Neodiprion lecontei: one gene and its partners. The protein of the gene in region 2 binds, or shares a complex with, the protein of the main gene of each other region. Links are inferred from orthologs where the notes say so. Each region holds a gene or a part of one and is shown on either strand. Other genes may lie near its edges. The genes, in order: iron-sulfur cluster assembly enzyme ISCU, mitochondrial; cysteine desulfurase, mitochondrial; LYR motif-containing protein 4.

Region 1 (11,122 bases), on a different chromosome or scaffold from region 2:
TTATTAGACTCAAATGTAAATAATCATTGTTATTCTAAATCTTATCTGTCTTTATGTGCTTGATTAGGTCACAGCATCAGATGTCTTCTACCTTTAATACGATTTACAAGGTTGCAAATTTTTAGTGCTGGACCCAACTTCAAACCCATGTACTTCATCATCATGTCTGAGTTCAGAAGCAGCAGCGCCTTACCATCAATTTCCTGTCAAAGATTAAAATTTTTGACACGAATAATAATGTAATTGAAGCTTTCCATACAAGAGAAACGTTACCATATGTTTATGTGAACAATAGTAGAATTGCACTGGTATAGTTTGATCTTTTCATTGTGATTATTAAGGTATGGTTGGAAAAGGGTTACTATTTACTATATTATGAATAATACAAGATTTCACTGAAACTTACATGTTTCCTGAATAGATCTGCATGTTGGCCTAATGCAGGATCCGTCGCAGCTATGTATTGAATGACATCCTCTATAGTCCACTCAGCAGGCTCTGAAGAAGAGATTCTGCTAGCTGGACTTTCAGATTGTGTTGTCGATGTGGCTGCTTCTAATTCTGAAATAAAAGCTAAGCTATTTCTCAACTATACTTTGACAAAGGTTGAATTTGATCACACCTAATCCAGAAATTCTTGAGGATCTATTTGTGGATCTAGTTCCCTTAAAATCGGAAATCAATGTCTTGGCAATTCTTACCAAGGACCGGCTTTCTCGGTTGTTTGGCTGCTGTGGGTGAGGTTGGTATGTTTGTAGAAACAGGGCCAGGACTGGATTGGAGGGGTGGTGCGGTGGTTGTGGGATTTTGTTGGCTATCGGAGGACCATCTCCGTTTCTCAGCTGTGCCATTAGACTCGTCCCTTTTGTTGGATGGCGATTGCTGTACAGGACATTTTGTACACTGTTCCTTTCGCCTGAAGAGCATATGTTCACAGGCACACACATCTTCGAGTTGTCTTCTGATGTATGTGTAAAAATCTTCTTCTTCTAAAAACACTGGTAACCTCACAGATGTTGGTTTGCTTTCAAGCGTCAGATTAATGCACTCTCCTTCACCCCGTTTCAACAAACTTAGCATTTGTCTGGGGCTGATCGCTGCCATTAACAGGGCTTGAAAAATGTCTCTTGTCACGCTTAGCATTGGTCCTGAACCAAACTGAGCGGGCATAGCTTTCACTTTACGAGGATCAAAATAAGGACCAGATGAACAATTGTGATTCACAAACATCGTTACTGTAACAAAAGATATACACATTTCAGGACACAAATTTCGCATCAATGTCAGATACTTCTGATACTCCATTGAATCTTCAAGCTCGAAAATGATGGTTACATCATTGTTCAAAAGGTTATCATACCATTTTCAAATTGACGAGTTTTGGTATTTGCCGTGCTTGTATCTGGTTCTGTCGCCGGTTGCGGAGGTACGCTCGATCCGGCTGGGCTGACTAAGGCTACTGCTGGTTCTCCCCCTGACACAGTAAGCACTGGCAAGACATTACTTGTCCTCGATTTGAATCTGTTTTGTCCAGTTGCTATAGTAAAAATATGAATATTAACACATCGATCCAGAGTAATTTAATTACGATAGTACTTCCGTGGTTGTTCAAAACCATCCAACTTATAAATTTTGTCATGCAAGAAATAATTTATTTTTATTTATTATCTAATCATGATGGATCACAATATTTCTGTTTAAAATTTAAAAAATACTTTCACAACTGTGTATCTGTATCAGAAAAATTAAATTTAATTGGGCTTACATTTTTGCCTCGGTGGCTGTAGCGGATGTCCGCTTTTAAAGCACCAGCCTGCAGGAAATATATCCCGAGAATCGTAACGGCACCAGTAATCAAAAGCACCTCTCCATCCATCGAAAGTTATGTGAATAATGTCATCCTTTACAGCGCCAACAGTTGCTGTGCATATAAGTTGTGGATTTTTCTTATCAATAGCTTCGAGCTTGTACCCAACTTCGAAGAGATTGGAACGTGGATCTTTTGGTTCCCGTTTAAAAACTTTAGCTGGTGCCATTTCAGCGCCATTAAGCGTTTTCAAAAGAAACATTGGCCAGCTAGATGCATTCATCCGGAAACCTAGCGGTGGTTGTAACATTCCCCCAGATTTTTCGCAGTGACCAATCGGATGTATTTCATTGCTATCTACCAAGCGCCAAAAATCGTTTTTGTTATCCGAACCATCGAGTCGCAATCTTAATCTCGGCCCCAAGACTCCAACTACTGTTGCGATGCATGTAGAAGTCAAGTTGCGAGGGTCCAGTGCCTCAAGTTTCATTCCCATTTTAAATTCATTTGTTGGCGGAACTTCGTGCTGCCATTTTACAGGGAAATATCAATTTAATCAATGGGTAGATTTTATACTGTGCAAAAAAGGAAACTAAAATAGAAGATGAAAACAAGTAGTACCTGTTTAAAGCAATCAATAGGTGCAGCCACACTGTTGGTCTCTTTGAGATATAATTCCCAATCAAACGTTTGGTACGTCTCATACTGGAAAGGACCAGATGATGTTGAAGGAGGCTGAGATACAGTTGGTTGACTATTGGTGCCGGTATAAGATTGCGTTGTCGAAGGGATGCTACTTCCACTAGGGAGGCCAGAAGGTGCAGGAGAGGCTGCAGGAGATGGTTGCTCACCATTGTCTATATTTAAAGACACATAGATTATATATTGTGATAATATATTATGAGAAATAACATTATCGCCATAACAGTAAACATCAATGAGTCTATTGATCTAGGATTATTACTAACTTTTTCTTGATTCACTCTCTTTTTTTTGATGCTTATTAAGACAGAAAGAAGAGCAAAAATCCTTGATTGGAGTATCACGCTGTTCCAGTCTGACTGGAGTCCCTCTAATCACATTATCGCACTGCACGCAGGCCCCTCTGATGTAGGCTTTGCGATACTCGGATAAACAAGTTTCTGAACAAAACTCTTTTTTTCCATGCTGTGTCGGCAGTACGTATTTCAACGGCTGCTTTGTTTCTCCGCACCAAGTGCAGGAACTCTTTGGTTTAGGTGGTCGACCTGGGCCTAAGTTGAAATATTAACTTTAAATAGGTCTGCAAAAACTACATGATGTGATTGTTCAGTCATAAATCTGATTGTTTGAAGTTATTTTACAAAATACATCGTTGACACATCTTTCTTTTCAAATCAATGATGCCGAAATATCGTTACGATTTATCTTTCATGTATGGAAGATCATTTAGAAGGTATTAATTTCAAGGTAGTAATAATTCAATATAACGATAGAGATTTACACACTTATTTAATGTAAAAGTACAGATATATAGCATTTGAATAATCTTGCGATTTTAATTGAAGAATAAAAAAAAAAAGACATTAGAAGTGAAAGACGAGGTTATTTACGTATTATAACCGTGCGATATATCATACCTCGCATCTTCCCTTGGTTAGCAGACATCCTGGCCGGTAGTAATTTGGCTAATAATATAAGCCAGAAACAAAACTAACCACCATGAATGATTTATGCAACCAACTAACAATGACACCTACAATCAAAAGAATTTGCATCCATTAACGATACACATTTTGGCATCTAGAGAATGCCCCCTGAGCGCGGAAAATTGTTCCCGGGTTGAAAATAATACCGGCTCGGTTGGGATCGCGCAGTATAATTATATAAATATTATCGATCCGCATTAAGCATTGATTACGTAGGACGTTTGACGATTATAATTCCTACTGTATTTACGTAGTTTTCATTCTGATAATATTATACACCCACAAGCACAGAGTCTACTGTCAACGCCGCCATATTGCTTTTATATAGTCGCGCGCGGTGTCTCTTGGAACCAAATCCTGTCCGATCCGAACTCGCGCCGAATGCCGCCACGGTGTAAAAATTAAGAGATACCTAGTCCGTCCGACTGCTCTATTATACTCCCGACAGAGACTCTACTAGTCTCTGCTCCCGATGCAAGGCTCTGTGATTGTTGTTTTACTAAAGTCCCCTGTCTCTCCGCCACGTGTATCCTTTGGTGTCACAATAGATGATTGTGAAAACATATTTTTCCTGTATCTTTATTTCGAACCTGTTTGATCACTTTGTTTCTGGTCACGGAGTTCGTGAACGGGTTGTTCATTTGCTCTGGTGCAATTTTAGATTACTCCGTTGATACATTAAAATAAAATGGGAAAGTTCCGCTATGTACCTGACTGCCAGTACGGGTATCGGCATTCGGAAACACCAGTATCGTTAGTTGGCGTTCCCGAAGATCATAATTTATTTATAAAGTGGTATTAACGGGTTGTATGTTAAACGTCAACTTTTGCGCGGATACAAATTGTTCTGAAAGACGATTTAAATTTTTGCGGGCGGTGGTTTTTCGGCCTATGCGACACCTGGACTCGGCTGGTGAACTTTGGTAAAATAATCACAGCATCCAGCACGAGTCGGACCACTTATTCTTATACTGTGACCAGCACCAGGCTGAGTTTCTAGAGTGGGAAGGAACATGGGTCAATGCTTAGGCTAAAGAGAGACTGATGATTTTAGCCAGCGACGAGCCCGTCGTTGATTGTCATCACCTCTCGCAAATATGGCATAATAGCGCCATTCAATTATCTTACCGCCCGCATGTATCTATTGAACCGACGCGAGTTCGGGGGACATTAGCATTCTCGAGAGTTAGAGGATTAATTTTTACTCTCCTCAAGATTGTACTTATCCTGTACTAATTTGAGAGTATGCACATTAAAGTTTTACGCACATTATAAGTAACGGGAATTGAGGGCATAGATATACCCAAAATGCTTGAACGCCACTTTTATTACTTCAGTAGAATTTTTCCGATCTGCTATTATATGTATAATATACTTTAATAAAATATAAATTTCCATGAAAAATAGGATCACAAGGTAATTATCACTATGATATATCGTGAACCTGCATAACCGCAAGCTTTATAAACCCGAACAATAAATATTATGCGTACTAAAATATAATTTCAATTATTTTGGATACAAGTGAATACTATATATACATATGTAAGTTTATATGTATATACATACATGTATAAGTCAGTTGGAGAAATTTAATTTGAAATTAAACGACGTACTTACGTTCGATCAGAATCTCACTCTTATAAACTTGATCATACATGTAACTATTATAGATTCTGTATTCATCATCCAAGATTGTACTACAGCAGATAGCTACAGTAAAGAATATTAGACGTTCAATTTAAACGTTGACTAATTTGGATTGCAAGATATGATGCAATATACTATTTTTCGCCAACTATGACCTATAAAGTTTGTTTTCCTGCTTGGTGCTGTTTATACTTCTAGGTATGCAACTCTAAACTTCATTACTGCCAGATGCTGTTTTGGCTTTTGGTTGCTGCTTAATGCGGTAATCAGAAAGTGCTGCCTTGATTGCATCCTCTGCAAGCACTGAAATAAGGATTTTTTAAATTTTATAGTAATTTACATGCCTACGAATGCAAGTTAAAAAAAAGTTTAAAATGGATTTTTAAAAACTGGATTTGGAAATATTGCCTTGAATTTCTGATATAGAATAAAAATTATAGTTTTTACCAAGTCTACTTTACTAAATTACCAGCTAGCTACTGAAAAACCATAGCACTTGGATTTTGGTACATGAAATATTAATTATTAATTTTTCATGCCAGCAACCCAGTTACATTTCTGATTCGTCATACAAATCTTATCTTTAACCTTTCATTACTCGCACTTTGAGCGTGACTTTAGCCTTTAGACAAAAATCCCAATATATGTAACTATATGAGTAACTGTGACTTCATACTTTACTACTTTTTTCTTTGAAATGTTTACTATAGTTGGATATACTCATAATTGATAACTATTTAATGTATAAGAAAAGTATATTAATGTTCAATAAGATCGTGAAATAGTAGCACAGTGCTCATTACACGAGTTAAATCATTGATTCAATTTTTCCGACCACGTTGCCAGAGCTGACTTGGAACATCTCAGCTGACAGTAAAGATGGTCGATACACACAGTGTGCTTATATACTCTTAGATTTAAAAGAAATTATGTTCGATACATATATTTTCAAAATAATCAAATAAGCTGTTTAATGAAAAGATTTCATTACTATATTGTGACGTGGCAATGTCCCATTTCATTTAACATAGGTGGCAGAGTGCTGTCCGCACAATGAAATTCGTTGTGCAAGCAAGTGCCACTAACGAAAGGTTAACAATGCTATTATCAATCTAATGGGCTAAAACTTACTCGAACAATGTAGCTTGACTGGTGGAAGGCAAAGTTCCTTTGCAATGTCAGTGTTCTTTAGCTCCAATGCTTGGTCAACCTGATTACAAATATTAATAGTGATTAGCGATGTTTAAAGTATAATGCACACACAGGATTAATCGAAGCATGAACTTACCGTTTTACCCTTAACCCATTCAGTAGCAAGAGAGCTAGAGGCGATAGCTGATCCGCAGCCAAATGTCTTGAATTTAGCATCAGTGATTTTTCCATTTTCATCAACTTTTATTTGAAGTTTCATGACATCGCCACATGCCGGAGCTCCTACAAGGCCAGTTCCCACATGTTTGTCATTTTTATCAAGAGAACCAACATTCCTCGGATTTTCATAGTGGTCTAGCACCTGGATAATATTGTAACAACGGGGGAAATTAAGAAAGGACTGAGAATCAATGGGTTCACTGCGCGAATTGAGCGAACGCCGAGCCAAAGAAGTCTCACAAAACGAGGAATATTTTAGAAAGAAAGTGGATGTATTTGGTCAGGAAGTTCTCTTTTTAAAGTCCAGAGACTGACTGTTTTCACAATAATATTTGTTGACCAGCAACCCTATTCATTTTAAGACATATGAAAGCTTTCAGTTTAAGATGACTACTAGATCATTAGAAAGCCGATAACACGGGTGATTGATGATTTCACCCTTTACAACAATATTGGGACATATACAGTTTGTGATATACGAAAAAGTTAAGAAGTAAACAAGTCCGACGTTTTGAAAATACAATCTGAAACTAACAATGTCCGAACTTTACGAGATAAAAAAAATTTATACAGATTTTTTTTACTGTTACGCAAAATGTCAAATAGTGAATCGGACATTACGGTAGGTTATCAGGTATGAAATACTTACATTGACATGATATGACACAACGGGTACACTTCGGGATAGAACACTTGCCGCATCCGTAAATTTTTTCGGCAAAACACGAAGTAAAGACATGGTTGTTAAATATCAACTTGCCTTGATGATTTGCGGTTGTCGTTTAAGGAACAGCTCAGACGAGCGTCTAGAACAATTCTGAACGAGACGCAGTGCGCGTCGGCACCTCGTGAGCGCCCTGCGCATTCCGTTGACGGCACAGTCATGGACATAGCTGCAGTCAACGCTGTCAACTCACATTTCGCGGGAAATTCGAAATTAGACCAGACCCAATAGAGCGTTTTCGCGTCTTCAGTCACCGCAATAGAGCGTTATCGCGACTGGAGATATATACCATATGTGTAGTATGCATGCCTGTACATCTTCAGTCAACGTCATGATTTATTATTTCGATATCAATGTATGTATGTACAATACTTATTGGTGAATGGCGCATGGAATGCAAATTTAGTCAGAATCTAAAATTTATCACGGAGAATCTAACTCGCTTTATCTCGTTGGTTAATTGTAAACAACTTCGCAGATTTCTAGTTTCATAGTTATATTTCGTTTTCAAACGGAAATTACAACAAAACCTTATCTTTGTAATTGAGTGTATTCGTTAGTAACTGAATTACGGTACGCGTTTTCACATTCGGCGATGATTTTGTTACTAATTTGGTACACCAAATTATACATACTTTCATATTATAAATGACTTTAATAGGGGTGGATGCACGTAATGTACGATTGTATACTATACAACTAGTGTGTAAAATGTGATTTCACGCACATGTTTCGTAATTTATTTTTTGACATGGTATGCGTAAACTTCAAGTTTTCGCACTGGTGTTGGTGCGTAAAATGACACTTTTCAATACAGTGCGAAAGATGCAATTAAAATGCTTAAAATCGGATAATTTTATACGTACTGTGTCAAAAGAATAAATAAACAAAAAAAAAAAACAAAAACAAAAATTGATAGCCTTTGTGTCATGGATATGGCAATGACATATATTTTTAAAGTGATGAGAAATGATTTTATTATAAATATAGCGTAGTATATTTGAATACGTTTAAGATAAACGAGCATGGATATGCAGTACTAGCGTCAATATTAGATGTCAGAAATTTTAACTCTATTACTTCTGATGCAATAACTAGATACAATATAGTAATTTTCGTGGGTATAAGAACAATTCTGGGCAGTGATTATTTACAAGATGACGAATTTTTACGTGTAACTGTGAAAATTCGGTTACCGTGGTATATACATTAATTTACGGAAAATTCGTGCGAAAGTTATGTTTCTAAAATATTCTGTAAGGTTTGTAGCTAATTATCTATTAGTTCGGTCATGTTTTTCGCGTTCTGTCTTATTTCCATTCTTAACAAAAAGCTGTCAGCTGCACGATATGGCAGAAAACAAATAATATTCATGCATCTGATTTTAAAATCAACATATTTGTAACTGAAATACTGTTCTACGTAGTTATTGGAAGAATAGGCACCAACTGTTGCAGGTTTTAAATATTAAATCACGTTTTTTCGAGTAATTCATACTAGTGTATACACGTCTCATAAGTTATAACAATAATAAACAGGAGTTGCCATTTGAAGGAACTACAATATCGGTAAATAGAAAAATGAAATTTGAACCTAGTAACTCAAACGTAACTAGAGACTAAAAATAACATATTTTGCTCCTAACGTTTAGTTTAATTATTCAACATCTATTCTATGTGAAACATATAATAGAGTACATGTAGTGTGATAAGATATTTGATGCATACTGAAAAAGGTACTCATTAAGATTATTAAAAAATAATTCAGCGTGATAAAAAAATAAAGTTTCAGTTCAGAAAATATACTGCACTTCACTCCACATATCTAATAGCGTGAGTATACTTTTACTATTGTGTAGCATGCAGAGTCAAATTTCTATATACGACAATGGGTTACCACAAGAGGCAGAATTTGTTTACGATGTTTTCAGCACACACAAAAAAGGAATAGAATAAACATGATTTTAGCAACCAAATTATAACTTAAAAAGTGATAAGGAGAAAATAATGATCCTTTCACTTTATCTGGCCACCCAAACAAATTTCCACGAAAAATGCCAGCATTTCAATGATCCTGCGAATAGTGCTGTCTGTGCAGGGTATTTATATCTTATTCATCTGTTATTTAAACTCGTTACCGGTAAAGATTTTGCCACGGTAACGTCTCTATATCTGTTTTTGGGATACTAATTTAAAAAAAAAAAATAAGCAATGACAAAGCACGATTTGAAGCAAAAATAGAGCACATAGATCTAATTTTTACGCATGTTAGTACAGAAAAATATTTGTCAACCACGACATAGTTTCAATTCCCTAAAAATTTTCTTTTACCCCGTAAATTATACGACTTATTACCTTGTCATATCAGTCATATAGCTAAACTTCAAAATAAATATACGGCAATGCATTTTACTCTACGCACCGAATTTTGTTTTGTTTAAAGTTTATTACATTTCGACTTACGTACTAAGTTTACTTGCATATCACAACATCAATGCATCGCCTGGTATTACACCTGTCTTTGGGATGCGTTGACTTTTTTCCCTCTCCTCTAATAAATAAACAAATCGTTAGGTATTAAAAGATAGTTGCGCTGTTGCTACGGTTGACCTTTTTCCCAACAGTTCGAGATGAGGTTCTAGTCGGTGTAGGCCTTAGCCTATAGCCTCCAAGATTAGTTGTAGTATTCATAGCAGTCATATTGGGCGCTAGTGTCTTCAGGCACTTAGCAGCTTCTTGGAGTTGTTTCGACAGGATTCCATTCTTCAATTTTTCTGCATTCAACTCCCGCCTAAGTTGTGCTTTAGTTTTTTTTCCAAAAGGACATAGGACTCTGTGTTGAATCAGCGTTACTGCTGACGGCCGCATCTCAGGCTTCGGATGAATCATAAGCTGCAATGATAAGGACCTCGTAAATTAAAATATTGAAAATATACAAATGGGTGATAAATTTCTGAATATCCGGGCACTGATAGTTGATACTTTATTACCATTTTTCTTTTTCAAGTAAACATGTAATTTGCAAAAAGAATTTGATTATTATTTTTCGGGGATTACCTACCTTCAATAGCTCGTTAAAATCTCTACTATATTGTGGCAGTTCCTTTAGCTTCCCATTCCTAATTTCATGCCAATCAGGACCATTTTTAGGTAACGCGCCACCACCCCCAGCTTCATAAATAGTCAATCCCAACGCAAAGATATCAGCCTTAGGCATGTGGGCTAAATCCTCATGTAAGATCTCAGCAGGTAGATATCTACAATCACCCTCTTCAAATAGCGGATTGTTAATCGAAGTAACGTGACCCAAGTCTCCAAGTTTATAAGTAATTTCTTCTTCGACTGTGTCTTCCTCGTCAAAACCATCATCTGCAGAATCGTAGTCTACAGCGCGTAGTCTTTTTTCTTTCGATATGAAGATATTGCCTGGTTTGATGTCCATGTGGACTAGCTGCATTGAATGTAAATATCTGAGTCCCTCAGCAATATGTATCAGAAGTTGACGCAATTCAGCTTCGGTAAAGTTCCTTTTTTCAGCCTGTAGTTTTGAAATTGCATCTGCTAAACTACCGCCATTACAATACTCGTTTTGAATAACCATGTGATCGTTTTCTGCCCATGCAGAATAGTAGCGAACTACATGTTGATGTTTGCCAAGTACTGCATGTGCATATACTTCATTGAGCGCATTTTTTTCATTTACACTTCCAGCAACTGGTTTGATACTTTTTTTCACTGCATAGATGCAACCATCTAGCCTGTTGATACATTTGAAAACAGACCCAAACTCTCCAACGCCAATCAACTCGAGCTCCAGAAATTCCTGGTGATATCTTGATATGTTAGATTCATGAAGAGCTACACGTTTAGTTGGTTGCTCTAC
Region 2 (11,662 bases):
TTTCAACTTGAACTCCTTGACTCGATTTTCGTCCGGAGTTATCGTCGCACACTTTATGCCCACGTTATATTTCTTTACAGCCTCCGCGCAGTCCACCGTCACCTGGTCATTAGTTGCGTCCCGGTTCTCCATACCCAGATCATAAATGTGCAACTCAATATCCAGGAACGGGAGTATCAATTTGTTCTTGATAGAGTCCCAGATGATACGAGTCATCTCATCTCCAAGAATGTCAACGACGGGTCCAGCCTGTTGGAAAAATGCTGTTTCTTTAAGTATTTTCATAAGAAACTGCTGAACATCTTATTTACAACAATTTCATTGTACAATCTAATCATGAACGGAAATTCCGAGAAATAATCAAACTATCAATCAATTGATTATTACGGCTTATATCGCGTGAGATAATGATCGCTGTGATATCCACATTGTAGTAGGAACCTTATCATTCGAAACTTATTAGCTTTCACTCGACCTCGAGCTTGTTTTCTATTTAAGTGAAACCATCGACATTCCACGGCAAACGATGGGTCGACTAAATGTGGGGGGGAGGAGAGGGGATCGACCTCTGCACTGTGCACCATAATGTGCACTATCATCCAAGGTGGTTTGGAACGGGGTTCTAATCATGCAATAAATACGGAATACTTCGGAACACGAACGCTGCGAACAATAAAGTTCCCCGAAAGGTGAATCGCAAGTGTCTCGTGATTTGAAGTGCCTTCTCTCAGTCGCGGCATTAGTATAGAAACTGTTTAAAACGGATACGCGACGATCGCGACCGGCCGTATGAGACTCGAATGTTTTTTAAACTGCAGGAAGATGAATCGGCTAACAGGGCGACGCCTCGGGGGAGCGTGATGGATCAGGGTGAGATATGTACATTCATAGATACCTTGATCTTAGCCATAGCGATTGACGTGGAGCTGAAGTTTTTCGATGTCTGTGTCGTCCACGTAAGGTTTCGTCTGCGCGATGCGTCGAATGAGGAGTTTCGGTCGAGCAGAGCGACGGACGACGTACTGCAGCGAAGTAATCGAGCCGCACTGTCCACGGCGGCACTCGGTCCTAACAGGCGAGTCAAGGAACGGAACATGGCGCCTGTTATTGTTATTATTACCGGATTATACGACTAGGGGATAGGATGAGTACGTGTACGGAACGGGTTGCGTACCGCGTATCGAACGATCCTAGAGTTGCACCGTCACTGGTCCCGTCGACCGGGTTCCCGAGATGTGTTATCTCTCGCGGAAAGTTGTGTACCCCAGGGACCTTTGGACGCGCTCCCCGGGTCCGAAGAGTACAATAAACCAACGGTTTATTGTCATTGACGGGTCAATTGATGCCACCCCTACATAAAATTGATAGCGAATTCTAGACGTTAACAGTATTGCTGACACGCGCCATTCTTTTAACGGGAGTTGGTTACGCAATCGATTGCCGCCTAGAGCGGCCAGCCGTCGAGTCAATCGGCCGAAGCCCGAGAGGCAATGTAACAGCGGTGGCATCCGCCATAAAATATCGGACTAATAACAGCTGCCCTCCAGGCTATCTACATAATTACGGTTCGCAATATTTTTTCATTTTGCCCCGAAATATCCGAAATATGTACTGCACATGCATTAAAGGTACTGTGTGGTGTTATTTAAAAGGCGGGCTGAATTAGCAATTTCTGTGAGTGTCATGCGTGATAATAACGTCTTGTTAATGCCTCAGAATAAATGAGATATTTATTTTCAAAGTCAAAACAAGGATGAAACTACGACATTTGCTACACTGATATGTAATGATATTTATGTCTCATTTGTAAACCACTGACCTCTACTTGTATGCTAGAGATCAGTGATGTAAACTCAGTGGTTTACTACAGAAAATCATACCGCGAACTTCACAGAGTTCGGCCATTTTCAGCACTCATTAGCTAGAGGAGCTAGAGAGTAAATTTGAGACCAAACTACAGGAGAGTGGATTACAGCGCCACGGTGAACAAACGATAAATGATATCTCCAGATTTCCAAGTTTTGTCAGTTGGCTACATTGAAGTCTAAGCAGGCAGAAAACAAGAGCAGAAAAATACATCGCGCTGCATCGCGCTGGCTACCGCGTTGTATTTTAGACTATCGCCACACGTCAAACCACAGGTTTTGTGTGTTGACAGGTGACACTTCCTCGCAAGGACAATTTTGATACTCGGCTCCCCAGTGCTTACGTTAAATTTTACCATTCTGCAATATACAAACATCCGCTAGGTTATTTGAAGATGTTGTCGATGGAGAGAATACCTGAGCAAATCGGTTATTTGGTATTAAAAGAGGACGGGGCGGTACTCACGGTATGACAACGCGATACAAGTCGAGAGCTTCATCATTGTTTACTTTTGTTTTTTTTTTTTCACTGCTGTCATTTCAGTCGGGTGGAGAGCTGGAAAACGACGAGAGAATTGCAAACATTATCATGAGCCTGATCACTCTGACCGACACGATCGATCCCAAGGCGTTTGCGTCCGATGAAACATTCAACAAAATATCCATAACCTACGAAGATCACTGCTACGTCATATGCCTGTCAAACAAGAAGGTTCACATTGTTAAGAAGAAGATAACCGCGTTGACCTCATCTCAAGAACAGCAGCAGCAGCACCTGCCAGTGATTGCTTGATGAGTCAAATATTGCTTATCGAAATAATTACAAGGAACATATGTTAAGTTGAAATATAAAAATGAGACATGTAATAAAGCAAAGATCGCAAATGTGAACGGTAGCAAGTTTCCTAGCTTTTTTGCTAGTGGTTCTGTTCATTGCACCTAATCGACTAATTATAGATGTAGTTGGACACCGAGGGTGATTCTTCGGTTTTTAGGCAGTCTGCGCCATCTATGAGCTTAGCAAAACGTCTATGACTGAACAAAGATGCTGCAATCTGCGCGAATATTTTTTAATTATCACGAATATGCATATGTACGCATGCATAAATGTGTGTAGTTATAATCGGTAATAATACGCGTGGGAAATATAACCCGTTAAACAATGATCGGTAGTATTGTTTAGATGTAAACAAATGGCCACCATCAAGGTAACCGAACAAAAGGTGATTTTATGTGGCGAATACGGGGTCGGGAAAAGTTCGATATTTAGGCGATTCGCGAACAATACCTTCGTCTCAAACAATGATAGAAAATCGACCTTGGGACTGGACAATATCAACAAACAGTACACCATTGACGAAAAAACGATTCGCGTAAGTAGCACATTTGCCTGTTACGTTCAGTTATTTTCACGCGTGCAAGTGCAGCTTTAAATTTATTGTGTCGGACAAGTATATTCATTTACACCTGTCAATTTTGGCTAATTTTCTACAACGTCGAGGGTGGTCCTGACTTTCCAGCTGCAGTTATGGGACACAGGAGGAATGGAGAGGGTTGCCTCTATAACATCCAGTTACTACAAATTTGCAGAGGCGGCAATATTGGTCTTTTCGCTTGACAATCCGACCTCCTTTCACCTCCTCTCACAGCACCTTCTTGACATTGTAACTTACGCGGAAAACGCTAAGATATTCCTTTGCGGGAACAAGAGCGACTTGGAAAGCGTTGATCCTCAGGTCACAGATGTGGAAATGGAACAATTCTGGTAAGAGAAATAATCTATTCACATCGTAATTATATGTTGAGAATTAAAGCAATAAGTTCATTGACAGTCGTAACTTTTGTTTCCCAGTGAACAGTGTCACAATTTGATATCGGCGACGTACAAAACGTCGTGTAAAACGGGGCACGGGGTTGATGAAATGTTTGAAGATATTGCACGCCATTTGGTCGAGGCAAACAGATCGCGTATGGAACTGCACGATATGGACAAGGACCACTTCAAAATCACAAGTTCCGACGAAATCGACGAGCCATCCTGCTTGTGCTAATTTTGATTCAGCTTTTAATGCCCAGAACACGTTTCTCTAGTCAACTCAAGAGGAAACGGATTTCAATTTAAAAATGCATGATTTATGTCATGACAAACGCTGGCTGAGCATATATTAATATTATAATAATTTATTGACGGAGGATGAATGATGTGTGGCGATTTGATAAATTTTCAAAATAAAAATTTATTCATTTATCATAAACTCTTATACTACTATGCAGCGAATGCAATGTTGAAATCTGGAAACTTGAAATCTCACTAAGCTAGTCATAATTTACTATGTATCACTTAACAAATAATCCGTGTACAAAGCCCTTTTTGAGTAGGAACTGTTCAGTGCTGCGTCCATTTGATTGACTTGATATCGATACCCTCTTGTACCATTTCCCACAGTGGACTGGCAGGAGGAAGAGAAAACAGAATTATATCAATTTTACAAGCAAACAAAACTTTTGCTAGAGTTTCAATTTTGACATCGAGCGCATAAAACACATACCTCATCTCTCTGAGTCGAATAACGTGGCGTATGATGTTATGCGCTGTGTAATCGACTTCTTCACGAGTTGTGAAACGACCAATTCCAAACCTGAAATGCACAGTAATTTGCCATTGTCAGCATTTATATGTCAGATATCCTAGTTTGCAAAAATTGTACATTCACGCCTACCTTATACTGGAATGTGCCAGGTCTTCGGCAGCTCCAATGGCACGTAAGACGTAGCTTGGCTCTAGACTGGCGCTCGTGCAAGCTGAGCCGCTGCTCAACGCCACATCTTTCAAAGCCATCAGCAATGACTCTCCCTCGACAAAAGCAAAAGAGAGATTCACGCAGCCAGGATACCAGGCAACTTCATCACCGTTACGCACCACATTCGTTAAACTGCCCATTATTTTTTGTATCAAATGCTGGGAAAGATCTTCTATATACTTGTGGTCATACTGTAAACGTGGAGAAGAACACAAGTATTAATCCAGATAATTTTCAGTTCAAATTGAAGATGATACTTAACACCAGATACTATCAAACTGACGTAAAAATGTAATTTCTTTTGAAATCAGAGACTGATGAAATTCCTGGAAATTTTCTGAAATTTCCTTGTAAAGTAATAATCTCATGACATTTTCAGGTTTTCCCAATTTTCTGTAATGCTGGACACTTTACAGTGAAGCATATGGAAAGTTGAGAAAGTGTTGTACTAACAGCCATTTCCTTTTGTGCGAGCTCGCAAGCAGCCCCCAGCCCAACCACCAGAGGTGCTGGCACCGTTCCACTTCTCATGCCTCTTTCCTGACCCCCGCCACTTTGAAGGGCTTCGACACGAACCCTTGGCCTACGCCTGACGTAGAGTGCTCCTATGCCTGAAACATTAGTTGAGATGCATGGATATTTTGAAAAATTTCTCGATCTCTTTATGCACTACCTTTTGGCCCGTACAACTTATGACCACTGATCGACATGAGATCTATGTTCATCGCGTTCACGTTGATCGGAATTTTTCCTACAGCTTGCGCAGCATCTGTGTGAAAGAAAACTTTCTTCCTTCTGCAATATCAACAAATATGATAATCTGTTCACTGCTCAATACTTAACGCTTTTATCTTTGTCTTGTTCTGAAACTTAAAATATATTTTACAGTATAACAACCTGCATAGAGCTCCAATCTCTGCAATTGGCTGTTGGACACCAATTTCGTTGTTCACAGTCATTATCGAAACAAGTGATGTGTCAGGCCTCAGAGCAGCTTCAAGTTGGTCTATGTCGATTAATCCATTGGGTTTGACAGGGAGGTATGTGACATTGAATCCTTCAGCTTGCAAAGCTCTGCAGGAGTCCAAAACGCACTTGTGTTCCTATGTAAAAAGAACAAGTTGAGAGACCTCAATACTTCTCATCAAATGCCCGTGGCTTCATACTTCATTATGTTTTACAAATATTTCCATTCTGGTCTCCAATTAATTTTATTTCAAGCATACAATATATTTGAAACGGAATGTAATCACAAAATTAGAAACAAACTACGTAAGCCAACATCAATGATTATTTCACAGTGAAAACATTATCAAATGGAGCATCAAATAGTTTACATCGTATCCAATTTTCCTTTTCAACTCACAGTTTGTGTCGTTACAACGTGCTTTTTCTTTTCCTTGTAAAATCTAGCCACACCCTTGACAGATATATTATTGCACTCCGTGGCCCCAGACGTGAATATAATTTCCTTCGGATCAGCTCCTATCAGATCAGCAACTTGCTACAAGAGAAATTGAAAGAGGATAGAATATAAAGCACTTAGAGAAAACGAGATCCTTACTAACTTTCCGACCACGCTCAACAGCTGCCTCTGTTTCCCATCCATACATGTGAGTCCTGGAATGCGGATTGCCGTAGTATGTTGTCATGTACGGCATCATCTGGTCCAGCACACGTGGGTCCTGAAATGAGAATCGACGTATCAGTTGACACCCAGATGTACTAATACTGATTAAAACAAGTTAGCGAAGTTTAGCGATTGAAATTTTTCCAAACAAACCGTTATTAAAACAAAATACGTTTATACAATCACAAGTGTGAGATTAAGAATAATTTTAGTTCCGTTCGAGAGGTGGATAATTACCAATGGTGTAGTGGCCTGGGCATCCAGATACAAGGGCCGACCCTCCGCTGGACCCTTTTTGTACTCATCACTGATGGGAGCTGGAAAAAAACGATTTTTAACAAGTAGTTAGGCGCAATTGCATAATTTGTAGTAAAATCTTTCGTTTACTAGTTCAGCGTACATTCGAATTCTTTGACAGCCGCGTAGTGTCGCTTGGGCGACGAAATCACTTCGTTGACGTGGTGATCGCGCGCAAGAGGCACGAGTCGTTTCCACAAACGAAACATTCTTTCGTTTGATCGGCCTTCTTCAGTCGTGCGACATTTACTCAATCAGTTGGCCGGTCGCGCGCTCAAAAAAAGGAGGAATTTGGGTTAGGAATCTCGATGCGAAGGCAGAGGAAACTGTACGGATCTAATCAAGATCTTGAATCTCGAGAGTCGAGAGCTAGGCGTACGCAGGATCACCGATCAATTGGTGCCGCGACGAAAAGAGATTAGTTGGAATGAAGTGAAGTGAAGTGCGGTTAACCTGAAAGAGCGTCGGTAACCCTGATAGAACAGCTCCTGCTCGTAACTGCGGTTCTGTTTGCCTCTCACCAATCGGAAACTCGTCCCCTCGGCCTCGATCAGCCGTCAATGGCGCGAAAAACTCCGTGCAGGATGTTTGTTAAGATTGTCATTTGCTAATTGCACTTTACACGTACGAATTTGTGATAAAAATTTGATGCGACGCAGAGACGTTTAGAGTTAACAGGTACAGTGCGTTGTTTGGATAGATTCAACTATGCGCGCATGAGCTGTGCCAAAGTGACCAATATGCATCCAATATGTGAAATCATCTTTCAGTATTCTTCTTTTCCTCTGATGGTTACCGTTTTAGAGTAGTCATTGTTAAGAGTGCCCTGGTCGATTTTGATGTTGACTTATATATTTGCAAACATCGAAGTCCACGTATCTCAAACGCAAAAACGAGCTCAACATCCCGATTCTATACGCGATTCTGTACAAAAACACTTTTATACATTTGCATTTAACGCAGAAATAAAGAATTGGCATGGATTCTATGAAATCACTATAGTAAATAAAATTTGTAGAATTCATACCCTTTGAAATGACCGTTGACATAAAACGTTCATAAAAAAATTTTTAATCTGATCAACGCTGATTAGGGTCACCGTTTTTAAAACGTCAATAGTCTCCAGTCAACGACAGTCTTCAATGAGTCAACGAAATTACACAGCCTTTATAAATCAGTTAAAATAATTTACCAAGTAAAACTCTTGTTCGAAACATTCATTTACCTTCGTCTCATTTACGTGTTATGTTACTCTTCTGGATTTGTTTTGAAAATGCCGCGTCAATTTCTCATCTGTACTGCTCTGTGACAGCCGTGGTAGCAGACTGAACTAAAAGTACGCGTGCTTTTTGTTTGTGTCAACAGTACCGACCCTGTGCCGACGCCCGCGAGAGTGTAATCCTGATTTTCCTGAATTTTCCCCGCACTGTATTATCACAAATCTTAACGATTTCTTCAACAATGCTATTCGTAACTGTGTAAAATCACCCTTAGGTCGTACTGTATTGCGATTCTTGCCCAAAGTTGAACTTAAAATTAGGTTTGCTTATATTATTGTCGATACATAACCTAAAATTCGACTCATCCTCTCACAAATTTTAGCGATTTTAGCTACATGGTTCGTGGATCACTTCTTGTGTTCTCTTAGATTTCAGCCTCATGATGATGGATGCCGCGATTGAAACAGAGGAGGTGATAGAAAAACCACCGGTTAGCGTGCCAGTCGTCAGAGTTCCCGTCAAGCACACCAACCTCGGCATCAGAAGTCACGCAATGTAAGCTAATTATTGGTCAACCCGTAACTCATCACTTCCGTGCCAAATATCAGATATCACATGTTTCATTCTGCAGGGACATGAGCACAATGGTTGAACTGACGTCGTTCAGTTCCCTTGGGAAAATTCAGCCATTTCTTGTCACTCTCTCCACAACTGCAGCGCTCATCGTCGACCTGCATTGCCATCTCAAGGACAAGGAGGTGTGTGGTTATCTTGGGGGGCATTGGGACATTAATGCTCACAGTGAGGTTCAGTTCCTAACACATATTTGTAGACAACATTGAAAATTGCGGGTTTTTATTAAGGATCTTGATGCCCATAGATTTGACAATAAACTACGCGTTTCCATGCCGATGTAATGGGAAAGACAAAACTGCAGCTGCAGCAACTGAGGCTGAAATTGCACGAGCCATGGAATGGAAGCATCTCACGTTGGTAGGATGGTATCATTCCCATCCTAGGACGCACGCGTCGCCGTCGCTCCGCGATGTCGATTCTCAACTAGACTATCAGATAAAGATGAAAGGACTGAGTGACAATAGTTACACACCATGTGTCGGGCTTATCTGCTGTGAGTTTCGTTGTTTGCGTTTTGGTCATCCCAACAGTCTTAAATTTTTGGCTCACTTTTCGCAGCTCCGTATAACACAGATAATAACTGCTACGAGTCAAACTTCAACTTCTTTTGGTCGCTCCCTCCACCGGAAAATCGGCCTCACGAGTACCCGAGACCAATGCTGCTCAGCTACACCCTGTCCCAGGAACAATTCCTTTCTCAGGAAGCTATTGATGAAATTGTAAGATGTTCAGCACTGAATTTCAATGCCGTAGTTAGCGACTGTGCAGCAGTTCAGGTATCTACTATAATGGCTGGTTTTTAATTTTTCAGAAAAAATGTGTCGAGTATTACAAAAATGACGGCTGTGTCGACTTCAAAGGAATCTTTAACGGTTCTGTGACGTATTTGGAAAAATTGAAGGCAAGTATGCGACGCGTGCAAAAACTTTGTGTATTGAGAATTATGAAAAGTAAATCAGTGCTAGATAACATTTTTGTATCATTCTTTTTCGTAGAGCTCATTGGAGTCAAAACTACCGAGGAACCAGTCAAACGGATCGTACTGGGACGCCATCAGAGAAATCGTTGCACCTGGAATGGAGGATCCGCCAACGACAACGCAAGCATCGAGCATAGCGGGAAATTCGGATATATTTTCGAATGTCAAGTTCCCGTTGGTGCCTGACCCCATGGGCCGTTCTGGCATCAATCCTAACAATCTTTTCCTCACTCCCGTAAACTTTAAACTAGACTCTAGCGTCTCCATACTAAAGCCGTTCAACGTGCCGTCGACTTCGAAGGACAAAAACGACACCCTTGAAGCCACCAAAGGGCAGAAATTCGACTTACCGATGCCGGATATGAATCTCAATGCGAAGCACAAGTTGCCGGCTGAATTCACATCCGGTGAACTGACCGTTTCCGTAAAGAATTCCAAACCAGACTACGATTTCTCAACCGCGGACTTTTCCAAGGTTAGCAATCTCCTGTCGAGCGATTCCAGCTCCCACGGTGCCGGCAAGAACAGGATTCCTGAATTCCCACTCGCCGATATATCGCAGCTGAGCAAATTCTCGGACCTTTCGAAGCTGGCCAACTTTTCAACCAGTGATTTGGCCAAACTGTCGGGTTTCTCAATAAACGACATTGCCAAGACGTCCCCAGCCTACGCCTGCAACCTAGCCAACCTGTTCAACCCCCTCGGTGGCAAGGCCCAGGACGTGACAGTGATCGACGTTAACAAGACTACCGAATTTCCCATATCCGAATTCATCTCTTCCGACATCTCGTTTAAGCCCTCTGACGTCGTCAAGGGTCTTGTCGCAATGTCGACCGTCGATACAAAACTCACTGTCAGTGAATTGCCCGTCGGTGAACAGAAGAAGAACCCCGACTCCGGGGACTCGTCGAAGTCAACCAGAAACGATTACTCTATGGACGACGTTTCCATCGCGAATGTAAAGTCCGATTTTGGTACTATGCTGGACATGACGGTGCACGGCATGAAGCAGCAATCTGGCGGCAATGACTGCCCGGACTCTTTGAATTTGAGCATAGATCATCAGTCGGGAAAGTGATGGAAGGGTGAGGGGAGGGAGCGAGGATCGTAGATCGATCACGTCGAGGCTCGTTTCACGTTGTAAATCGGTACTGCTACTTACTTTAACGAATACGGTATAAGATATAGGTCTTATAGGTTTCACCATGACTAATTGAACTGAAACTCAAATCGTAGGCTGTAGTAATTTATTGGACCAGGCATACACAACAAAGCGATGTAATCTCTCAAATTTCCCCATTATTCTGGGTGGGAATATTATCATATGTACTCCCACGGTCACTGCATCTGTAGCTCCTGGGATGGGCAACCGAAGATACATAGCAATTTAGGTGAGAAATTCTGTGCGAAATTAAACGTGTAACTTCGTTGCCTATCTCGGGGACGACAGCTACCGTGACCGTGATTGTACCTAAGTAAACATAACACGATTGTTGCGGATGGGATGCTTCCGGCGATTTTAACGGACGTAGTTATTCTGAAACATTACTATTTAGAACCATGACTTTATTACCGTGAATAAAAACCATTTTTATATCTAAAACTATCTTTTCGATGGGTGTCATCTTTGCTTTTGATATTATAGATTTTTTGTTTTATGTACCCGTATTTCCTGCCGCCTTGTGATTCGCTACTCGCATCGCACTCCGTCGTGTCTGTTGCCTAATCTTAGGCACTTTTGCAAAGATCCTTGAAGGAATGAAAATGATCTACACTAGATCATATAATTTTGCAATCTAGATTTGGAATATTACTGAAAAGCGCTTTAATGTTTATACCTGATATATAATATAGTCTCCTTAATCAAAGAGACTATACATGTTCCAGACATTCTAGATATGATTGCAGTATTGCAGGTAACTTAGAATAATATGTTACTAATAGTTGACCCTTTCGGTACGCACGCATTCTACGTCACACCGTCCCCGCTGACCGAGCAGTCGTGGCAAGCGTACAGTCACCGCTCAGACAGAGCGAGCGTCGCACGTTGGGTGACTATAGTCACCGCTCAGGCCGAAAGGGTTAATTAGCTGGTGAAAAATGCAATTTTCAGGATCACCTTGCGAGTGGAGAATATACGTGAATTGGAATTGCAGAAACTCCCGCGGGATCGCAATTGCATCCCCCTGTCTGAAGATCCGTTACGAAAAGGCTGCAGCCATATGGTAGGAATG
Region 3 (9,935 bases), on a different chromosome or scaffold from region 2:
GTTTGGGTCTTGTAAAACGTGACTTAGTATCTATGCAGTTGAAGGCACCAAATGGACAGGTTTTGAATTACCAAATTTTGCAATCTTTTCCTTTCACATCTGAGACGAAAAGGATGGGTATCATTGTCAGAGAGGAAGCCAGTGGCGAAACGGTGTTTTATTTGAAAGGCGCTGATGTTGTTATGTCGGGAATAGTACAATACAATGATTGGCTCGAGGAAGAATGTGGAAACATGGCCAGAGAGGGACTGAGAACTTTGGTTGTCGCTAAAAAGACTCTCACAGAAGAACAATATCTCGATTTTGAAGCTAGGTATTCAATTCCAATCTACTTGCAATTATATAAAACATGGGCTTTCGTTATTCTATGGACCAGTCATGTAGGGAGTGTCCGCATCACTCTGAACATTAACGTTTTCCAGGTACAATGCAGCACGAATGTGCGTCAGTGACAGAGCTTCCAGAGTTACCGCAGTTATAGAAAGTCTCGAAAGGGAAATGGAACTTTTGTGTGTAACAGGCGTTGAAGATAAGCTCCAAGATCGAGTAAGGCCTACTTTGGAGCTGCTAAGAAATGCAGGAATCAAGGTACAAGTGTATTGCCATTCTGATTGTGCCAGAAAAAATTCTAACGACATTGTTTAAACTGTGATGAGTGAAACAAAATGGAGGGTCACACTCTTTCAACTTTTCAGATATGGATGTTGACAGGGGATAAATTGGAAACAGCAACGTGCATAGCAAAGTCTTCCCGACTAGTTTCGCGAACTCAAGGACTTCACGTATTCAAGTCCGTTGTGACAAGAACAGACGCACATTTAGAACTGAATACTTTTAGGAAAAAGCAAGATTGCGCGCTTGTTATCAGCGGAGATTCTCTCGAAGTGTGTCTTCAGTACTATGAGAATGAATTTCTGGAATTGGCATGTGGCTCGCCAGCCGTCGTCTGCTGTCGATGTTCACCAACGCAAAAAGCCGAAGTTGTTACGCTCATACAACAGCACACTGGCAAAAGAACTGCAGCAGTTGGTGACGGTGGAAACGACGTTTCAATGATACAAGCAGCGGATGCTGGTGAGGATGTTACTTTGTAAATCGTTAATATATTTTTAGCTTATGACAAGCTTGGACTAATTGATATTTTCATTTTTTGCAGGCATCGGCTTGGAGGGTTTAGAAGGACGTCAGGCATCTTTAGCTGCTGATTTTTCGATTCCTCAATTTAGTCATCTCTCTACATTGTTACTCGTTCATGGCAGACGAAGTTACAAGCGATCTGCTGCTCTGAGTCAATTCGTCATCCATCGTGGCTTGATCATTTCTACAATGCAGGCTGTGTTTTCAGCGGTTTTTTATTTGTCGTCTGTGGCGTTGTATCAGGGATTCTTAATGGTTGGGTAAGTATTCAAAATCAATACCCCAAAATTATTGATTGATTACGGTGGCAGAGAAACATTCAATTTGGTCTTGTTTTCAGCTACGCAACGATTTACACGATGTTCCCAGTGTTTTCATTGGTATTGGATAAGGACGTATCCGAAAAAATTGCACTTACCTATCCAGAGCTTTATAAAGATCTTAGCAAAGGACGTTGTCTGTCTTATAAAACATTCTTTACGTGGATTTTGATCAGTATATATCAAGGTAAAATACTGTTTATAATCCTTTTCACGCTGTACACTGCTGCTACTGATTTAAGTATGTGACTATTTTTTCAATAAAATTTTAGGGGGAGTGATAATGTATGGTGCCCTCATCATGTTCGAAGATGAATTCATCCACATTGTGGCTATTAGCTTTTCGGCGTTGGTATTAACAGAATTGATCATGGTGGCCTTGACTGTTCGAACCTGGCACAAAATTATGGTTCTTGCTGAAATTTTATCTTTGGGGTTATATTTGTTATCCTTGGTCGTGTTGAAGGATTATTTCGGTAAGTAAAAATTAATCATTTTGACAGTTTTCATCAAAGACAATAGTTATTTTTGTAATTTTGTCAATAGTCTTGCACACTAATGTCTTGGCACACTAATATATTTTTCATCTAGAAGTTAGTATTGGAGTTGCGATCACACCCCATTTCATTACTATACTTACTAAATTCTTAATACTAGCACAATATTTCTTTTCACGTGTGCTATAATAATGACAAAAATTTACTTTTATACAGATGCCGAATTCATAAAAACCACAGATTTCCTTTGGAAAGTACTAGTGATAACGTTGGTCTCGTGTATGCCGTTGTACATTTTGAAATTTTTGAGAAAAAAGTTTTCACCACCGAGTTATACAAAGTTGACTTAAAGTTTAATGTGATAAAATTTGACCAGAGGATATGCGTAATCAAGATAAACTATACCCTGAAGGATCAATTATCTAATAATAAATTGTCACAAAAAATTACTGATTACCTAAAATATTATACACATGATATATTAAGCATCAACGCATTTTACGGCACTCACGTAAATTAAAAACGAGGTCTAGGCAAACTCACTCGACACAAACTTATGGGCCTTGTCTCAATCATTCAAACCGGGACACTGTAATTAATGATTTCCGTGGAAACACTAGATTTTTATTACATCCAAGCATAAATGGTCTTTTACTACAGACGAGGTAAAACTTTTCCAGTTGGACAGATCTCTTGTGTATGTCAATATACTCCGAATGAAGAATGCAAACAGCAAAGCTTGAAAGCTGCTTTGAAACTGTAGTGGTTTATTTTCTAATAATACAATGCTAACACATTTTTTTATGCTGCCGTTTTATAAGTTACCTGATCAAAAAAAAAGTTGTAATTCAGACAGTTATTGGCATTGCCCTATGAATATTAATCAAGGCAGTCAAGAGGATTTTGAAATATTCTGCATTAGTTAATAGGTATATTTTAAAAAGCTTTGTGATTCATTGCAAGGTTTGCCTAATAGGCCTGCTTTGCTTATATTTCTGATAATTTAATCTTCAAACGAGACAAATAGTTTATTAAACGTCGCATACTAGACTCAAAAATTAAATTTTAATTGCTCTGCATACCATTAGAGTCGTGAGATATAAACATATATTTTTTCCTGAGAAAAATTTTTGTGATCATGTTATAGAGACATTTAAAAGTATACACAGAAACGATGACTAAAATAAGATTGATAACTAATTATAAATATACATGTATACATGCATACATATGTTATTATATAATCTGTTTTTAGTTAATTTATGCGAAATAAAATAATATATTAATTACTTTAATATCCTTATCAAAGTACTAAGAATGGTTGACAGGGTACAGTTTTAACACAGCGTTCTGTAAGTAAACATGATTTATTAATATTTCAAATTACCTAATCTCAACATTGAATTTATCCTGAACAGCTCTTCCGATTTTCCGGTGAATAGTATTAACTTCGAATTTTGTCAAAGTGCGTTCCATGTGTCTATATGTAATTTTATAACAATGTGACCTGCGGTTATTTTTCGGATGAACAAAATCATCTATCAATGCGACTTGCTCGATAATATCCCCTCCAATATCCCTGACTATTTCGAAAAAATCGTTTGGCGTGAACTCAGTTTCGTTTGGCAGCCAGAAACTTATATCACTTGAGGATGGTGGATAGATACTGACTCGCTGAAAAATATCATTTATTAGTTATATCTCAACCCTTAGCAACCGAACAAATAGAAGAAACAGATTAATATTTAAATTCATTCAAGACGAAATCAAACTTCTGTACATTACCTTGTATACAATTCGTGAGTGGTAATCCTCGACTTTAAATTGGTTCAAAAAACCAGGATCTTCACTCCAAAACAGCCTGATGTCTGGTATAGAGTAGAACAACATAGCAAGACGTTCCAAGCCAGCACCAAATGCCCATCCTATACGATCTGCAGCTCCAGATTTCTGCAAAATTTCTTGCCGTACTATACCACATCCTAGGACCTCTAGCCATTCATCATGCTTCAAAATTTCCAACTCCCAAGATGGGTGAGTGAATGGAAAGTATTCGTCAACCCATCGATATTCAACATCTATGAAAATGAATGACACGTTATAACATATGGATGAAGTGGTAATTTTCAAACTATTCCAGTACGAAGGAGCAGACAAAAAATGACTACAATTTAGATGCACCTTGACCGAAGAAACTCTTTACTAATCCGACTAGAACGGTTTTTAATTCATGTTCCATAATTTTTGTTGCTTCCAAAGTATGGCACCCTTGTTTATCAGGACTGTCCGATTCCCTGTGCTCAAATATCCTCAAGTTTTTAGAGTCCTCTACATTCTGAAATATCTCATCTTGTGTCCGAAGTCTCACACCATCCACTTGATGAAATACAGGATAATGTGTCGAGTTAATATCATCTCTTCGATAAACGTCACCGATGATTAAGAAGTTGTTCAGACCCATCAAAATTAGTTCTGCTTGATGAGCCGTTGTATGAGCTCTGAGTAAAGTTTCAGAGTTGACATAATAGCAATCAGTTTTACTTCGACTGGGATGATCTTTTGGTACAAGCAGCGAGTCAAAATTTTGTTCGACCGTGACAATTGGTCTCAGATTATCATGGACACTGAATAATGGATTGCCCACTTTATTTGGATAGGCTTTGTAAAAATAATCTGCGATCCGTTGTCTTATGAGTGACAACGGATGATCAGGTTTTAGATGTAAGTTTTTTCCAGGATATTGGGATATCCTTTTTGTCACATTTGTCCATTCGTCTATTGGGTATTTCTGATCGAGAAGTTCAAGTTTCTTTCCCTTTTTCACCAGTTTCGATGCAAGGGAGTATTTTCTAGCAGGCGATATCCACACGCAGGCATGACGTATGGTTTTCAGCATGCTGTATCTGTAGTTTATTATAAAAATTATGTTACTTTATCGTTCTACGAAATATGCGATGAATACTTGGGCAAAAAATGTTTAATTTTTCTAAAAAAAAAGTTACAAAGAACACGTGTATCCACTGTCATTCAATTCTATAATCACATAGAGCAATCGGTTTCGGAAATTTTCTCTGAATGAGTACCTTAACAACTGTGTATGAGAAATCATCTTTAATCAATTACTGAGACAACACCGAGAGTCACCGGTAATATTTACAAGTACGTATTTAAAACTAAAATAAGGTTAGATTATATAAACCAACGAGTGCATCAGGTATGCGTCTCACAGTCTTCTCACATAATATCTAAGAAAATTCCAATTGAAATTTACTACGGTGAATATTTCACACAATTAATATAAAAATTCTTTTACAATGTGAAATTAGGGTTAGGTTAATTGTTGTTACTTTTTAAAGGCCCCTCTAGATGGCCTGCCATCGTACACACCTGAGTTTTCACTAGATCGAGAGAAAGAGTGGGAAGAGTTACGTTTTTCACCTACAACTTCCATTCAATGTCTTCAAGCTCTCTCTACCACCAGGTGTAGCATTGTTGGCTTTATATCCGTTTAAGATAATATATTATTATTGAGAGTCTTTGGTCTGCATAATTTTCCAGAGATCATTGTGTCAATTTTCGACTTTGTATAATTTCTTACCATGTTGGCAGAACTGGCTATCGAGTGATTTGTTTAGCTGCCAGGAATCATGGCTGTCGCCCGTGAAATGATCGTCAACCTCTACCGAAATTTGATCAGAGAAAGCAAGAAATGGGATTCATACAATTACAGGCAAGTACAAAATATCTATCTAAATACGTAGAGGTGGTAGGGCTTGATATTCATTCTCTTTCGTCCGCTAAGAGCCTCGATCAATGTCGGCACGCATGGTTCGGCTTACGCAACGTAGTAGGTCGAGTGACTTTCTACTTGACAACCACGTGCATCCGGCACTGCTTGAGAAACTTGTTAAAACAATTCTTATAAATTTGTTACAGTGTCAACGCGCCAAATAAACCTTGTTCGAGAGCTAAATCAATTTTGTTTGAAATGACTTAACTCTTACAATTAATAGAATGTTCTCGCGTACGGTTTTTCGATTGTTATCGTCACGTGACATAGCATCGCCTCTGCCGACAGACAAGGTGATTTTAATAATCGCGTATTTAATCTTGTATTTCAGAATGTACGCACTTAGGAAAATCCGTCATGAATTCAGAGAAAACAAATTGCTCCAGGACGCAGAGAAAATAAAAGAAAGTTACAACTACGGACTGACGAATTTGGATATGATCAGAAGACAAGTGACGATCGGGAATCTCTACAGCACTCGCCAGCTCGTGATAGAAACAACACCTACGCAAAAAGCGCTGTAAATTTAATCATTGGATAATGCAACGGTACGAATAATTGTTATTATTTAATATCGTTCAGTGAATTGTGTAAAGGACTTTTATTGTTGATCAGTTCGTTTATTAGTACTAAGCCGGTAAATTATAAATAAAAATCAGTCATCTCTGTCTGCTCATGTATTGTATGGCCCTGCTCTCAGAACAATCGTATATCTTAAAGTATGCAACTTCGATAATCTACAATCTCCAAAAACACAAGACTGCCAATTTCAGAATCTGTGCATTGTACGTACGTTTTATTTACATTCGAAATACAAAATGCACGACGACTTCCGAGCATCGCGATTAATGCTCCGCCATGTCGCATGTAATCACGTAATCATACGACCAGAATGCTAATTATTCGATAATCTTTTTCGAACCCGTTCGACGGTCGAAATTATTTCCGAATAACTTGGTAAATAGTATGAGAAGTACGTCAAACATCTTGTACACAATATATCTAATCATATCTCCACACGAAGAATCGAGTGAGGTTACTTATACGAGTAACGATTACCGGTCTAGATTGCTACAAAGACAACGGTATCATAATTATCAAATAAGGGCGGTACTCGCATGAAGAACACTTTGTAAACAGTAAGATATGACGAACAGTTTCTGGTTTTCGGATTCGGACGGAGCTATGTTTATTCTCTTACGAGCCACGGTCGCGACAGGCGAGAGACGATTCGCTCCGTTGCCCTAGACGGCTTCAAGTGTAAACACAGCGAATATTCTTACTCTCAGAAACATCGCGATGATGCAGGATCCTGTGCATTTATCCGACATCTCAACACGTTACTTTCGTGATTTCGTTGCCGCTTGCATGCATCATTTACTTTTAACCGCGTACCGCGAAATAATACATATGTTTCTCCTGATCTTAACAATTTTTAATTGAGCGATGTGAAGTTTTTTCAAGTGCGTGTTATTTAACTTGTTGTAATTTTCATTTGCTACAGTAAAACAGTGTAAATGCTTCGTTTTTGGAGGCTTAGAAAAAATGTCTGACGTCGATTGAGATTTCAATTATTCCAAACGTCAAGAAGAGTGAAAGAAGCTTGACGGTACAATCAACTCGAACTACGAAAATTTTAGGTATCATCGGTCGCGGACATTCTGCCGATGGTGTGATAGGTAAGTCGCTTTAAGATTCTTCTAATTCAATCATGACTGCGTCCTGTACCTGTAAAAAAGTGCGTTGCGCTGATGCTGTTTCGTTTATCGAACAATTAAGTTATTTGTGTGCGGGAAAAAAAATGTAATATCTGGACACGCAAATTTGTTACAGACCGTGCCTAATAACAGGCAATTTAATTGACAGACCGCTCTTAGCGTTTTACTAACATAGTTTCACTCACAATCAGTAAACATAGCGTATTGGTAAAACGATTTGCTACCTTACGTACTGCCTGATTTATTGGTAGTGTAGCATGCATCGCTACAGTGATGTCCTATTTTACCGACTACTGATAATATCATCTGTCAATGATGGTTAAACAGATGACAACACCGTCATCACTGGTTTGTTTCTTCTCATACCCGGTGTTGCTAAGACGATTCAAATCTATGTAAATGAATGAACACCATAGTTTCACACTTGAGATCACTGACCATCACTGACAGTTATTAACAGCGCTCAGATGCAATCGGACGGGTTGCACAGTTAAGGTTACTGTGAATTCTGCGAGTTTTCCAAGAACCCTAAATTTAACGATTCATTTTTGCGAAGTATCGTTATTTCGCAACTTGAGATTTGTTGGAAATTTAGTAAACTATTGATATAATTCAGGAAAATACAAACATATTTTGGAAATTTAATTCGTTTACAGTAATTCAAAAAAAGCAAAAAAAGTGATATTTTTCTTACATTTTCCATTACATTAGCCTTATTGACTTCAACCTCGTGGTTAGCACCGACACAATTTTAATTTGCGAAATTCACTCGTAAAATTTTGCTGAGGTTATTGATTAAGTGGAATAAAGACGCACAAAAAAGTATATGATTCGCTATGCAACAATCGATGAATTGTTGGTATGTGATGAATAATTTGCTGCAGATACGCGAGTAAAAATTATTCCGCGGGTTCGGTTTTTTGGCTAAGCTCGTCACGCAAATTCTCTGTAGAAATGACGGCAATCTTTGCTTTTGGACTAACCACTGGAATACATAGCTACTTATTCTATGCCGCCTTAGTTAGATTTTTTCTTTATAAAAATTTAAGCTCCAGAACATTTCAAGTGTAGTTTCTCTCTCCAATGCGGTTACGCTAAAGTATAGAATATCCATGCTGGTTTATTATGATCTAATTTGTATGATAAATAATTAAAAAACAATCTTGAAGCTTACCCATGGACTTTACGTAAGAATATGACAATTTTCGAGATGGGTTTAACTGTCAAGATTGTGATTTGTATTTATTAGTGAGTTTTCTTTCGTTTGTAAATGCGAATATGGTGAAAACGACGGGGAAAACATTGAAATAAAACGATGGTTGGCATGTGTCATAACGATGGAAGCATGAAAATTGGTCACAGCCACGCAGTGCATTTGGTAATATTTCGCGTAAAGCGACCAAGGTGTGGGTATAAAATGAACCTAAAAAGTTGAACGAAAGCTACCAACCCCTCTCAAGCTTCCTCAAGATGTCTGCGCCTCGCTTGCGCCTAACGCGCCCAGCAAAAACTTCGTAATGAGCGAAACGAGCCAAGCTAAGGGGTGATGTTTGCAAATCATTAGTCTGCCGTCGAAAGCGCCTCCCAAGTTAAGGGGAAGGAAGCCCTACGAACATGAATGAAGAGGGTTGTGTGAGTGAGGAGGATGAACGAGGAGGGTTGAAGTCGAAGCAGCACGAGGACCACTGACGTCTTGTTTGCCTACGTACCGTAGGATTATTCGCTTCCGTGAAGAAGAGTTATAGATGTTCTATGAAAATTCAGCCTCCATGACGGTAGCGTTCAGCTCTCGGTTCTTGGTACAGCTATTTGAAAATGTTCGAAGACGTCGTAAACACCGTGCGGCTGAGGTGTTCGCTGTGAAAGAGAGGAAAAGAACAAACAAAAAAATAACGCTTACGAGCTGTAAGGAAAAAGATTCACCAAGAAACAAATACAATTTGTCGTTTGTGGTTTTGCTCGGAGGCGTTACTGCACCTTTCCCAGGATTCCGGAATTACACGGAGTGTGAAAAGACCCTCTGCAAATGAGCCTTTGCAGAGGTAGCAAAAAAATAAGAAAAAATTAACTCGTTACGAAGACTTTCTAACGAACGTTGAAAATTGTTACGTAGATCGCTTCGCATCTGTAAGTCAGGCTTAAGATGTCTGAATCCATCACGAAAGATATCCGCCATTGGGATTACAAATTTACTAGGGTGAAGGCGGTTTCCGTTTTTACGAAAATCACATGTCTGGAGCGAGATTTTGAATTTTGCATTACATAAAAGCAGAAATGTAAACACCAACTCATTGAGGACGGGGTGGCTTTTACAAGAGCTTTAAATCCTCTGACGAATTGCCTGCAATGGTGATCTGGAGGTACCAGCGCAGTAGTATAGACAACGGTCTATTCGGTACCTTCGCCCTCTGGAAACAAAGAAAACAAAGATTTTACTTGGTGAAATTACACGCAAGAGGAATTACTGTAATTT

What was found.
Region 1: cysteine desulfurase, mitochondrial (region 2) and iron-sulfur cluster assembly enzyme ISCU, mitochondrial share a complex: the UniProt entries of both Drosophila melanogaster proteins name them as parts of the mitochondrial core iron-sulfur cluster (ISC) assembly complex. The link is inferred for Neodiprion lecontei from reciprocal best matches to the Drosophila melanogaster genes Nfs1 and IscU.
Region 3: cysteine desulfurase, mitochondrial (region 2) and LYR motif-containing protein 4 share a complex: the UniProt entries of both Drosophila melanogaster proteins name them as parts of the mitochondrial core iron-sulfur cluster (ISC) assembly complex. The link is inferred for Neodiprion lecontei from reciprocal best matches to the Drosophila melanogaster genes Nfs1 and bcn92.

Annotation. Positions count from the first base shown.
Region 1 is NC_060263.1:33,901,422-33,912,543, forward strand, and holds iron-sulfur cluster assembly enzyme ISCU, mitochondrial, read right to left. Parts: upstream 7,340-11,122; 5' UTR 7,256-7,339; coding exon 7,166-7,255; intron 6,659-7,165; coding exon 6,434-6,658; intron 6,356-6,433; coding exon 6,277-6,355; intron 5,449-6,276; coding exon 5,354-5,448; 3' UTR 4,805-5,353; downstream 1-4,804. Other genes in the region: polycomb protein Scm, read right to left, coding at 69-203, 407-561, 702-1,235, 1,361-1,537, 1,766-2,333, 2,429-2,664, 2,776-3,060, 3,427-3,454; wee1-like protein kinase, read right to left, coding at 9,817-10,131, 10,301-11,122. UniProt on the Drosophila melanogaster protein: Scaffold protein for the de novo synthesis of iron-sulfur (Fe-S) clusters within mitochondria, which is required for maturation of both mitochondrial and cytoplasmic [2Fe-2S] and [4Fe-4S] proteins.
Region 2 is NC_060264.1:23,143,151-23,154,812, reverse strand, and holds cysteine desulfurase, mitochondrial, read right to left. Parts: upstream 6,833-11,662; 5' UTR 6,803-6,832; coding exon 6,697-6,802; intron 6,614-6,696; coding exon 6,534-6,613; intron 6,352-6,533; coding exon 6,235-6,351; intron 6,171-6,234; coding exon 6,033-6,170; intron 5,770-6,032; coding exon 5,564-5,769; intron 5,462-5,563; coding exon 5,340-5,461; intron 5,278-5,339; coding exon 5,120-5,277; intron 4,858-5,119; coding exon 4,586-4,857; intron 4,505-4,585; coding exon 4,415-4,504; intron 4,316-4,414; coding exon 4,252-4,315; 3' UTR 4,083-4,251; downstream 1-4,082. Other genes in the region: isocitrate dehydrogenase [NADP] cytoplasmic, read right to left, coding at 1-249, 896-1,096; ragulator complex protein LAMTOR4 homolog, read left to right, coding at 2,261-2,332, 2,410-2,658; GTP-binding protein YPT6, read left to right, coding at 3,059-3,238, 3,386-3,630, 3,718-3,916; uncharacterized protein LOC107224137, read left to right, coding at 8,253-8,368, 8,445-8,614, 8,694-8,942, 9,008-9,168, 9,261-9,350, 9,445-10,506. UniProt on the Drosophila melanogaster protein: Catalyzes the removal of elemental sulfur from cysteine to produce alanine. It supplies the inorganic sulfur for iron-sulfur (Fe-S) clusters.
Region 3 is NC_060262.1:37,510,916-37,520,850, reverse strand, and holds LYR motif-containing protein 4, read left to right. Parts: upstream 1-5,405; 5' UTR 5,406-5,435; exon of another isoform or gene 5,436-5,478; intron 5,479-5,563; 5' UTR 5,564-5,601; coding exon 5,602-5,684; intron 5,685-6,075; coding exon 6,076-6,268; 3' UTR 6,269-6,412; downstream 6,413-9,935. Other genes in the region: probable phospholipid-transporting ATPase IIB, read left to right, coding at 1-313, 423-588, 696-1,074, 1,157-1,397, 1,478-1,644, 1,730-1,933, 2,171-2,304; probable phenylalanine--tRNA ligase, mitochondrial, read right to left, coding at 3,338-3,628, 3,740-4,032, 4,136-4,857, 5,302-5,405. UniProt on the Drosophila melanogaster protein: Stabilizing factor of the core iron-sulfur cluster (ISC) assembly complex that regulates the stability and cysteine desulfurase activity of Nfs1 and participates in the [2Fe-2S] clusters assembly on the scaffolding protein IscU.